3 linked regions of the Macaca fascicularis genome follow. The protein of the gene in region 2 interacts with the protein of the main gene of each other region in a biochemical or structural test. Links are inferred from orthologs where the notes say so. Each region holds a gene or a part of one and is shown on either strand. Other genes may lie near its edges. The genes, in order: RIPK2, BIRC3 and UBE2V1.

The links.
Region 1: the proteins of BIRC3 (region 2) and RIPK2 form a complex in vitro, tested with the Homo sapiens proteins (2 studies listed by BioGRID, with this or other methods). The link is inferred for Macaca fascicularis from reciprocal best matches to the Homo sapiens genes BIRC3 and RIPK2.
Region 3: the proteins of BIRC3 (region 2) and UBE2V1 form a complex in vitro, tested with the Homo sapiens proteins (2 studies listed by BioGRID). The link is inferred for Macaca fascicularis from reciprocal best matches to the Homo sapiens genes BIRC3 and UBE2V1.

Annotation. Positions count from the first base shown.
Region 1 is NC_088382.1:99,457,653-99,461,776, forward strand, and holds the start of RIPK2 (receptor-interacting serine/threonine-protein kinase 2), read left to right. Parts: upstream 1-1,209; 5' UTR 1,210-1,519; coding exon 1,520-1,692; intron 1,693-4,124.
Region 2 is NC_088388.1:101,326,816-101,331,003, forward strand, and holds the start of BIRC3 (baculoviral IAP repeat-containing protein 3), read left to right. Parts: upstream 1-1,306; 5' UTR 1,307-1,393; intron 1,394-4,188. UniProt on the Homo sapiens protein: Multi-functional protein which regulates not only caspases and apoptosis, but also modulates inflammatory signaling and immunity, mitogenic kinase signaling and cell proliferation, as well as cell invasion and metastasis.
Region 3 is NC_088384.1:106,185,985-106,189,630, reverse strand, and holds part of UBE2V1 (ubiquitin-conjugating enzyme E2 variant 1), read left to right. Parts: intron 1-49; exon of another isoform or gene 50-157; intron 158-1,966; coding exon 1,967-2,115; exon of another isoform or gene 2,116-2,302; coding exon of another isoform or gene 2,303-2,305; intron 2,306-2,517; coding exon of another isoform or gene 2,518-2,541; exon of another isoform or gene 2,542-3,340; intron 3,341-3,646. UniProt on the Homo sapiens protein: Has no ubiquitin ligase activity on its own. The UBE2V1-UBE2N heterodimer catalyzes the synthesis of non-canonical poly-ubiquitin chains that are linked through Lys-63.

The sequences.
Region 1 (4,124 bases), on a different chromosome or scaffold from region 2:
AGACCATATATTTAGTGCTGAACATTTTATTATAAATGATCAAAAATTTTTAACACACTATCGTTTACAACCTTCCACTATTGTAAAACCTAACATTGCTACTTTCATTTCAGGTAATGCAAAAATACGAGACGCATTAGCTGTCTGTAGGCAGAAATCTGCTCGAGTCATTCCTGATTACTGAAGCCCTAGAATTAATTAAACATCTAGTATGGACTTGGTATTGTATATAACATTTGCACTCATATCTTACAAAATAGTCACCTAAGTAGAAAGGTGTTCAAAGCAGCAAGATGGAAATCGTTTGCAGTCTTTTTTGGTTGGCATGAAACACTGACTGCATTCCTCCCAGATTTATAAGAAAGAATTATTTGCAGTCTTACCTGGAGTCAGAGGGATGGACACTCTCAAGGTTATTTTTCACTCTCTGCATATATATACTTACGGAAGTAAGAAAGAAGAGGGAGAAAGGCAGATCCCACATAACAGCGGTTAAACACCTCAACTTGCTCCACTATGACAGGGTTTATCATCCATCTCTCAGTCCTGAAGTGACTGGAAATATGGAAATTGGAGTCCAGGTAGACAGGTGAGAGTACAACCTCTTAAGTGTGGGGCCCTCGGAATTCACAATACCCCCAAATCGCTTCCTGCGCAGGCGGAGAGTCGGGAGGGAGTCAGAAAGCAGAACCCCGAGCCCCCTAAGAAAGACCCCAGCCGGACGCTGCAGCTACCGGGATTGGCAACTTCCGGAAGACCTGTGGCCCAGAGAATTTTGGCGGTCGGGGTGAGGGTGAGGGTGAGGGTGAGGGTGGGGGGTGGGGGAGGAGTGAGGGGAGGGGTGGGGTGGGGGTGGGGTGGGGGTGGGGGGAGGGGTGGGGGGAGGGGTGGGGGGAGGGGTGGGGGGAGGGGGTTGGCGGCTAACCAATCCGACACCCGCCAGCAGGCTGAAGAGAGGGGCTTCCCAAAAGCAAAACTTTCCCAAACCTGGGGGATGGGAAGAGAAGACAAAAGGAGCGCCTCTGGCTCCCTTTCCCACTTCCCGGCCGCCCGCCCCAGCCCTCGGCCTCGGCTGCGCGACCCGGGCGGAGGATCCCGGTCGCAGGCCGAGGCGAGAGCCAGGCGGAAGGGCCGCGAGCGGGCTGCCCCTCTCCCCGCCTTGCTGTCCGCAGCTGACGTAGCCTGCGAAGTTTGGGGAGGGAGGAGCTCAGGCGGCCTGAGCTGGTGGCGGCGCGCGCCGGGGAGGGCCGGCCGGGGCGGCGAGAGAGGAAGCTCCTTCGCGGCGCTACGGCGTTGGCACTAGTCTCTAGAAAAGAAGTCAGCTCTGGTTCGGAGAAGCAGCGGCTGGCGTGGGCCGCCCGGGGAATGGGCGCCCTCGTGACCTAGTGTCGCGGGGCAAAAAGGGTCTTGCCGGCCTCGCTAGTGCAGGGGCGGATCTGGGCTCCCGAGCGCGGCGGGGGAGCCTTGGGAGCCGCCGCAGCAGGGGGCACAACTGGAACCGGCCTGAGCGCCCGGGACCATGAACGGGGAGGCCATCTGCAGCGCCCTGCCCACCATTCCCTACCACAAGCTCGCCGACCTGCGCTACCTGAGCCGCGGCGCCTCGGGCACTGTGTCGTCCGCCCGCCACGCAGACTGGCGCGTCCAGGTGGCCGTGAAGCACCTGCACATCCACACCCCTCTGCTCGACAGGTAGGCAGCCAATGGGGTTCCCGGGAAGAGCCCCCAACTATCCTGCATCCCCTCAAGCCCCCTGACAAGCGGGCTCTAGAGCCCAAATGGCAGTGACCGCTTGGGGCCGGCCCCACCTCGTCACCTCTAGGCAGCCCTTCAAGCTTGGGAGGTAGGGAGCACCGACCCTTCAAGCTCTGGCACGGTAGGGAGCACGCACTTCTCTGGAGATGCAGCAGTTGCATTCCTCCACGCATCTCTCCATTTCCCTTTCTCTCCTTCCCTCTTACTCCTAAGCGTTCTCTCTCCGTACTCCAAAAATCAGCAATCACTGCCAAACTCTAAACGCCGGGTTTATTGAAATTGGTGTGTGTTTATATGGAGTGGGTGTGGGTTTTGCTTGCTTTGTTTTTTCCTTATTTTTGAAATCGGGCTGTAGGGCTGCAGTGTCCAGTAGGCAGCCCTTAGCCACAGGTGAGTACTGAGCACTTGAAATGTGCCCGTCCGAATTGAAATGTGACCTAAGTGTAAAATACCAGAGTTCGAATGCTTAGTATTTATTTTTAAAAACTTGTAATATTTTATTAATATTTGTTTATTGATTATATGCTGAAATGATAATATTTTTGATATCTTGGGTTAAATATAAGATTAAAATTCATTTTAATGTGTTTCTTTTTACTTTATGTGGCCATGAGAAAATTTTAAATTGTATGTGGTAGATTTCACATTCTATGTTTATTGGACAGAGCTGCTTTAGAATCTACGATGTTTTGCTTTTTATTGCTTTTGTTTTGGTTGTGGTTTATTATGTGTTATCAGGAACGTTTTATATCAAACTCAATACAATTCAGTTTCTCCCACTCTCAGTTTCTCTCACGGGAAGATCGTTAAGTAGAGGAAATGTGTGCTATTTTTGCCACAGTAAATTGAACCAAAAGACTGTTAAATGGCCAGAAATTGTAAATGGCTTTCACTTACTGGTTTGTACAGGTTTTAAGGGAAGGTTAACATTAGTTTCTGTTTTCAGAAGAACATTACAACCACGTGCCATAGACCTGTAACTGTGTATTAGTCAATGGGTCTGGTCACTAGTCTTGTGTATTTTACTTCCTACAGGGATTTAACTAGGCCCAGCATTCAGTTCTTAGTGAGTTAACATCCATGATTACAACATTCTCTTCTCCTCCTCCTATATCTAATGTGAAAATACGTCATCACAGACGCCTGATTGGCCAGAAGCTGTATCCAGTATCAGATAGATTCCTCAGCTTCTGCCCTGCCAAAGTTACTGGATTTTCACCTACCTGTGACTTTTCTTCATTGTCTCACTGTCAGGCTTGGATGGCCTAAATGGCACAGGAGATCTGGGACACCTCTAGAGCTTGTTTCCACTTCTTTTCTATCATAATCCAGATTCAGTGATATACAAGGTGTGGTGTCTGTTTACTCTGGGCCTTATGTTCTGTGGCGCAAGTGCTGGGCAAGTGTGTATATGTGTCTGTAGTCAACTTTTAAGGGTGGTGGTTGGTTAGAGAGGATGGATATATGTTAGAACCAGTTATGCAAACACTGTATGGAAATATAGCACTGATGGACCCAATAGGTATTGAAAAGCCAATTGATCCTCCCACTTTGGGTGCTGCTTCTCAGGATTTTAGTTTATCTAAGCTTTGTACAGTTTGGGGACCAAGAAGTGAAGAGGGAGTTTCTTTCCCATGCTCATGAACAATTTTCATAGTCTAAAATTCTTCACTGAATTGGGTAGGAAATTAATTCTGTCTTCGAGGAAGCCATAAGACCAGTGAAACACTCTGGCATTACTGCATCACATTCTTTTTTCCAATTTGTTACTTAAGATCTTATCAGTGCAGTATTTATGTAGTCTGAGCATTAGACAAGGCTATGCAGTTGACTCACTGGTGTCTCTTTCCTCACTTATAAAATAGGAATAATAAATACATGTGTGTCTCGGGCTATGGAGAAGAATGTTTGCATTGTTCTTTGGGATGACCTGAAAGAAAAATTTATGCAATGTTACATGCCCTTATTTTAATGATTGGTGAATCAGTCTCCATAATCTGACTTCTGTCCGATGAGTGGACCTTCCCCAACAATCTTCCCACCCCTTATGAGTAATGAGTCCAATTGGTTGTTCAAATACCCTGTAGATGACGTAACTTTTTTATTAAATTTTTGAGTTAATTTTGGTGATGTGACTATAGAAGCTGTATTTTACGCCTTTATTTTCAAAATATAAAAATCAATTTTTACAATCTCTTGGCTTTTAAAAAAAATTTCCTACTCACTCAATCTTGCCAAAAATCTATCTTCAAGAACTGTCCAACTATATTCTTTGATCAAGCAATAGGGTAGAAAGAATGCAGCCATAATTGCAATTCAAATCTGACGCCAACCCTGCCACTTATTAGTGTGACCATTAGAAAAGTATT
Region 2 (4,188 bases):
ACATGTACAACAGCTTTATGTTTTAATGTTAAGTTAAAAATGGGCAAGGGAATGCAGAGCTTTTTGAAATTCTTCTGGTGAGTACATAATCAAAAATGTGTAAGGCCCACAAATTATTTTCCATAATCTCAGGAGTGAGTTGAAAATGGCTTAGAAAGTCTTGATTGAAGCAGACTCAAATGTGGATTAAAGTCTCCATATGATAAATACACTTAGTCTTTCTGAAATAATTCCAACTGGAACTTCAGTTGCTATGGACAGCCAAGTCCAGCTAAACCAGAAGATGCCTCAGCTCAGTCCATTGTGTGCAGAATGCACTGGATGCTGTTTCCACAGAATGATGAAGGACCAAATAATCTTTATGGGCTCTGCCTCTGGTTGGTAACTGTCTTTGATCTACTGGAAGACAGAAAATCAGATGAGCTCTCCCAAATCCATCTCTTACCCTGGTGTGGATGGCTCTCAGATAAAGTTGCTTAAAGTTACTACTTAGATTACGTTGAGGAAAATATGGCAGTGCAGTTAGACTCGAAGATGTCAGGTTTCCCTGAGAATGGCACTGCAACTCAGACACCTGCCCTGTGAAATCAAAGGCTATAAAGGAGGGATTTTTTTAAGTAGCCAACTCCACCATACTTATTAAAAAAAAAACAACCCAAAACTCACCAAACAAAACAAAAAGTATTTCAATACAGAAAATTAATAAAGCAATTTCAATCTTTAAAATGGTAAAAATAAACTGCAAAGGAGAACTGCATGATTTTTTTCACATACCCCTACATTTCCTTTCACCTCTTACTTTCTTGATCAGAACAAAAAGTAAAAATAAATAGAAAGATTTCACAAAGTTTCGAATTTTTTTTTTTAATGCTGGACTTCTGCAGCTATAGTAGAAGATTGAAAACCCGAACCTTTTTACGTGTAAAGTGTATGGCAGATGGAGGGTGAATAGGGCATATTGACCTTTTCCAGGCAGGCTGAGCAATGACCGTCCTCTCTGTATGGGTTGTTATCAAGATTTCCTCTGGCCCACGAGCAATGAAGCAAATGTCTTTCAGTAAATGCCGCGCAGATAGGCCACGGTTAAAAGTCATGCTTTTGGGTCATGGAAATCCCCGAGCGGGTTTGCCAGGCCACTGATTAAGAGGAAGTGTCTGTGGTTATTACCCCTGGAGTTCCCCTAAGTCCTAAAAGGAAAGCACCAGTGCACATGCAAACCACTGGGAGGAGTGCGGAACGCCTGCTACGGGTAGGGGTGGGGATTTGGGTGACGCATTTAAAGGACAGCGTGAGACTCGCGCCCTCCGCACGGAACAGGCCGGGCGACAGGTGTCGCTTGAAAAGACTGGGCTTGTCCTTGCTGGTGCATGCGTCGTCGGCCTCTAGGCAGCAGGTGGGCGAGGAAGGCTGGGGTGTGCGTGCGTGTGTGTGTGTGTGTGTGTGCGCGCGGGCAGCAGGTGGGCGAGGAAGGCTGCTGTGTGCTTGTGTGTTTGTGTGTGTGCGTGCGCGCGCGCGCCTCCCCTGGGGTAAGAGGTGTGCCAGCGGGTGGCCGAGGGGTGCTCAGGGCTAGAGCGCTGCAGAGGTTGAGAGTCAGTGGGTGGGGCGCAGTTATCAAACGTCAGGGCCCAAAGGCAGGCTCTAGATAGGTTCCAGGTGCTCAATTTCTATTTTACCTTTGGAGTGAGCCAGTGGAATTGTGCAGCTGTGTCATTTTGATTCGGTTGCCAAGAGTTATCACTGGGCCTTTGCAGGTGCCAAATAAATTTCAGGACCGAGCCTAACACAGAGCTCTGGCACAGGAAGGAAGTAAAGTGTTTAATGAGCAAATGGAGGCATGTTTCCAACCTGTGGTAGGAAGACAGCAGTTTTTGGTTGTCTTCCTGGTGATCAGCATGGAAACCCAGAAGTGCTCTTACTCTGATCAATACAGTGTCGAAGGCATGTACCTGATGCTAACGTAACAATAATATTAACTATTGACTTTATTTGCTATTATGTATTGCTAACATTAAGTACTGCTACCTGCTATATGCTAGGTTTCTCTCTGAAGAATTTACATGTATTTTTCACGTTTAATTATCATAATCTTAAGGAGCAGAATTATCTCCATTTGACAGTGAGGAAACTGAGGCTCTTGGAGATTTACTTGTGCAACGTCATGCTTCTGGTTACCGGGCTGCTTGGTACTGAGCACCCCAGATGTCTGACTCCAAAGCCTGATCCTAATCAATCACTGAGTAGACTCTGTGGTCATTAATGTAAAATTGATAGAAGTACTGTGGTCACTCGGGGCTTAGTCACATTTGCTAACATTTATTTCTTCAACGGGAAGTCTTTGTGTCTACCCTGTATGCCAAGCTCTGCAGATGCTATGAGTGGGAGGGCAGGTACAGAGATGAAACATATTAATAGCTGCGGTTCTAAAATACCTTACTGTCTAGGGGGAGGCAGAAAGAAAAGGCACACTTGCCCTCCAGTGTCATAGAAATGGATGTGCCGCGTGCCCAAAGGGTAGGGATGCCCAACAGCCCTGGGATTGGGGAGGTTGCTTTCTTGGTAGGTTAAATGGAAGAGTCAGAAGACGAAAGGTTGGGGACTGAGCCAATCTGAGAAGGAGCCACTAGAAATGAAAGAAGAATCCCAAGAGCTTGGTATCAGAGAAGCCCAGGGAATGGGACATTTCTAAGAGGAAGTGTGCCCCAATGTCAGATGCAAACATTTCCATTTGTTTTGGCAAAAAAACCATTGGTGTTATTAATACTGAGAGCAGTTTTAAGTGATGCTGACTTAATGAGTAAATGGGAGAGGGAAAATGGAGACATTAACCGTACACACATGTCCAGTTTGCTTGGCTATGAAGGGAAGGGGCGATACAGGGTAGTTGCTACAGTGGGAAGTGGGGTTGAAAGGGGATTTTTTTTTTTTTTTTTTTTAGACAGAGTCTCACTGTGTCACCCAGGCTGGAGTACAGTGGCGCAGTCTCAGCTCACTGCAACCTCTGCCTCCTGGGTTCAAGCGATTCTCCTTCCTCAGCCTCCCAAGTAGTTGGTAGTAAAGGTGCACGCCACCATGCCTGGCTAATTTTTTGCATTTCTTTTTAGTAGAGATGGGGTTTCACCGTGTTAGCCAGGATGGCCTTGATCTCCTGACCTTGTGATCCACCCGCCTCAGCCTCCTGAAGCGCTGGCATTACAGGCATGAGCCACCGCACCTGGCCGAAAGAGAATTTTAAAAATTTCTTTCATTTGAGAGTTGAGATAGATTTAAGCATGGTTGTTATGTGGAAGGAAAAGGGCCAGTTGAGAGTGAGAGGAATGAGAGTTGAAGCAATGAGGGAGATGGGATTAAGAACAAGATTTCTGAGGCAGTAGGAGAGTTTAGGATCCCATAAGGGGGCAAGTCTTTAACTGAGGCAGCAAGTAGGTTGTGAGCCAAAAAGACTTGGATATGAGAATGTGAGGCGGTTCCTGCTCAATGATATCTCTTTTCTTTGAGAAATAGAAGGCAAAGCAATGGACTGAAAATGAGATGGAGTGCAGTGGAGAAATCTGAGGAAGGTGTTGAAGGTTTAGAAGGGTGCATAGGGCAGTGGGCTAGGGGGCTGAGCAGGGCGAAAAGGAATTGCTAAGGGGTGGCAAAGGAGTCTTAAGTGATGCTGGTCCCAGTCTGCAGGGCTGCATCTAGGTGTTGGAAATTGTTAGGACAGAGGCTGAAGTGATCTGGGGTTGACATCTTGGCATATTTTTGTATATTTATTGTATAGTTGTTGCCTGAATTTCCACAAATATATACCTTGCTGGAGTGCAGTGGCATGATCTTGGCTCACTGCAACCTCCACCTTCTGGGTTCAAGTGATTCTCCTACCTCAGTCTCCTGAGTAGCTGGAACTACAGGTGCGTGCCACCACACCTGACGAATTTTTTTTGTATTTTTAGTAGAGATAGGGTTTCACCATGTTGGCCAGCCTGGTCTCAAACTCCTGATCTCAAGTCATCTGCTTGCCTTGGCCTCCCAAAGTGCTGGGATTACAGGCATGAGCCACCACGCCTGACCTAAAGCTTCTTTAGGATAAGATTTGTGTAAGGGGTTTGCAAACTCAAATGGAGGTGATATAAATGAGAAAAACTCTGAGTCTCTCTTTTTCTTTTTTCTTTCTTTCTTTCTTTTTTTTTAATTTTTATTTTTTGA
Region 3 (3,646 bases), on a different chromosome or scaffold from region 2:
CAGTTGTGTTGTCTGACTTTTTGCCTGTAATGTCACCACTGTCTTTCAGTTTTATGTTTGCTAGAGAAGACTCAGTCCCGGGTAGCTGAATAATCCAGTTGGCTGCTGTGCAGATGAAAATGCCAGTGTTTTCCAAACAAACAGTTCAAGTATGCTTGTAGGTTTTGCTGTTTCCTTTCAAATACCATATGTAGTATTATTTAACATTTTTTTGTAATCAACTGACTCTTTTGCTTACATTTATTTTAAAGGAAACTTTTACCATTGTTATGGATGGGAAGTTAGTATATTACTTACCCTAAATAAATTATTCTTAAACATAAATACATGACTGTAAAACGAAGTGTTCAATCACATACCACCTAAAGTCCTCTAACGTACCACTACAACTCCGTCTTTCAGCTGCTTGGACCAAAAACCCAGGAGCTGTAGTTGACTCTTGTTTCTCACACCTCACAGGCAACCTGATAGCAAATCTCCACAGCTCAGACCTCTCAAATGCCTAGAATTACGCCGCTCCTCACTACTTTCCTGCTATCACCCTGGTCCAAGCCGGTATTACCTTTTGCTAGGACTATTGCAGTATCCCCCTAGCTGTTTCTGCTCTTGCTCCCTTCACTCTTGTCCTCACACAGCAGTCTGAGGGACAGATCATGTCACGCAGTAACAGTTGGCATCCTTAATCTCCTCTTGCTGTCTCATCCCTCACTTGGTTTAAGCTAAATTGGCCTCCTTGCTGTCCTTTGACACCTTAAGCAAGCCTCTGTTTTAGGGCCTTTGCACTTGTTTGCTCTGTCTCAAAGACTTTCCCCTCAGCTATCCATAAATCATGCCCTGTCACCTTCTTCAAGTCTTTAGTTATGACACCTGATTGCAATAACACTTTTCCTCGATCACTCCATTTGAAAGTATTGCCCCTCCCCTATTACTCCCTGCTCCAGAACAGCAGAATCTATCATACTGTATAATTTACATATTGATTTTTGTCCATTATATGTCTCCTACTAGAATGTAAGCTGCAGGCATTTTTGTTTTATTCACTGCTTGTTCTTCAGTGCTTAGAAAAGTGCCTGATGTATAATAGGTGCTCAAATATTTATTCCAATTAAATTAATGGCATGTGTCCTACACTTTGGGAGATGCATATACTGGCAACACCTCCCACAATTTGGGGTCCCTCAAGTGAGCCTCTCTTCACAGTCACATGGTTAGTCCTATTTGTCTCTTGAGAGTCTGGCCAATATTCTGTTCTGGAAGACATCTAGAAATGGCTCAAATCTCAGCCTGAACCCGGTACTGTGTCTTGAACCTCTGAGATGTTTTCATGTGTTGCTTTCAAGAGCTACTTGCCAGGCTTTGGGATTTTTGGGAAAAAATTAGAGAGCCAGCTATTCCCTTTTACCTTTTTTGTAAGTTAAAAGAGAAACTATCGTTTAAATAATTGAAAAACAATAGAACATTTTATCCTTGGTGCCTTCAATTGACTCTTAGTTGACTAAGAGGACACCATTTTTATTTGCCATATCCATGGCGACTATTCCTCCTAAAGGTTGTTTGAGAGTCATGCCAACAAATAAGCATAGTCTCAGCCTCTTGTCTTCCAAGGTACTTTTGTTAGCACTTGATATTGATGGTTTTCATCTCACACTAGTTAACCCCAATTCATCGACATTTAGACATGTAAGCCCCTTATAAGGTTTGTCCGAGGGGTGGGGGTGGGGTATCTAAGTTTGGTTATCTAGCCCTAGTCACTTCACCTGTCAGAGAACCATGTGCCCCTTCCCTCTGGTTGTGCTGGTTGATACTGATAGCTTTATAAGTGGCAAGTTTGAGGTGTGATAACTTCCCATGATTTTTTTGCATGTTAGCATCTTTATTCCCAGGGAGCGATAATGAGCAGCTAGCTCTAGGCTTACAAGTTCCCCTGGAGTTGCTGGTATCTTGAATTTCTTTCCATTTATTTTAGGAGTAAAAGTCCCTCGCAATTTCCGACTGTTGGAAGAACTCGAAGAAGGCCAGAAAGGAGTAGGAGATGGCACAGTTAGCTGGGGTCTAGAAGATGACGAAGACATGACACTTACAAGATGGACAGGGATGATAATTGGGCCTCCAAGAGTAAGCGTCGAGCTACGGCTATAAATGTCAATGTCTTAAATTCACTGTGCCTCCTTTTAGAAAAATCCTAGCCTTATCACGGAAAAAAAGCTCACCAATGGTATATTTTCTGAAATGTGGCTATTCTTTTTTGACCAGTTTCAGTTTATATATTTGAACCTCCTCTGATGCTGTTTAACCCCTCTAAATGGTAAGCAAAAATCTGTTTAGACTCATAGTGTGAATTTATATGACAATGTAGACAGTAAGGTATGAGGTCATTGCACCCTCAGATGTCATTCCGAACAATCTCTGGACTAACCAAATAACTAGGCCCTAGGTATAGCCAGCATTCCTGAAGCTAGTCTCCAAATGAACTCTGGAAAGCCTTCCCAGTTGTTGTTTTTCTTCACTGTCTCCCAGGTCTGCCGTGCACCTGTATCCTAATGCCAGCCTGTCAGCTCCTGGTCTATTCCAGGCACTGCTAGACCCAGAGGCCTTTGCAAAGAAGACCAAGACAATGAGGATGGGGAAAAGTGGCCTCTTTCAGAACTTCCTGATTTGTGAGAGTTCCCAGTCTTCATAATGCCAGCCAACCATTTTTCGAGGACACATAGTAAACCCTCAGGAAATGTCTCTTAACTCTCACAAAACCCTATTGTTAGGTGCAATTGCATTCCATTTTACAGCTGAGGAGACAGACTCAGAGGAGTCAAGTCTCTTGCCCAAAGTCACATAGCTGGTAACCCCCAAATCAGATCTGACTCCAGAGCCTGTGCTCTTAACCACTGTGCTGTGGTGTCTCCCTTTTGTTTACATTTTGAGTTTTCATCTGTTACCATTATAGAAGATACTAATCAAGTAGTAACTTGATGTAGGAGTCAAGAAATCAGTTTCCATACTGTGACACACACTTCAGACAAGCAGTGAGAGCTTCTGCCTGAATGTAGCAAGACCTGTCCTGTGTCTGTGTGTGTTTAAGGGTGATGACGACGTTCATTCGTTTGATTGTGTACAGGACTTTGCACTAGCACTGTGGGAGCAGAAAGACATGCAGGGCGTGGCCCCGGCTGGAACAGGGACAAGTGACTGTTCATTACGTGTTAGGACACTAATGCTCATCTCAGATGGTCATCAACATTCATGGTGAATGATTGGCTTTACCATTTAATGTTGCTTCTTGAATCATTTTGTGACCCTGTAGTTTTGTGGAGTTTTAAAAATATATACGTTCGATCTGTTTTTACTCACTTCTTTATCCTTTTTTTCTATGAAAACTAGAATGTTCTGTGTCTGCTAAATACTGGGGAAAACCCAATCTAGAAATCCTATTTCTCCATGGAGATAATTTTCTTTACTGTCTCTGAAGGTCCATCACATGCTGACGTCTTCTTCACTGCATGTCTTCTCTTCCTAAGAATGATTTTGGTTTCTTGAGGATGAGAACTGTGCTTCCCTCCTTACTTCCCAGAATACCTAGAAATGGGGTACTCAATAGGTTTGCTAATCAACTTAATGATTTACAGGTTCTAAAATACTGAGAATTGAACCA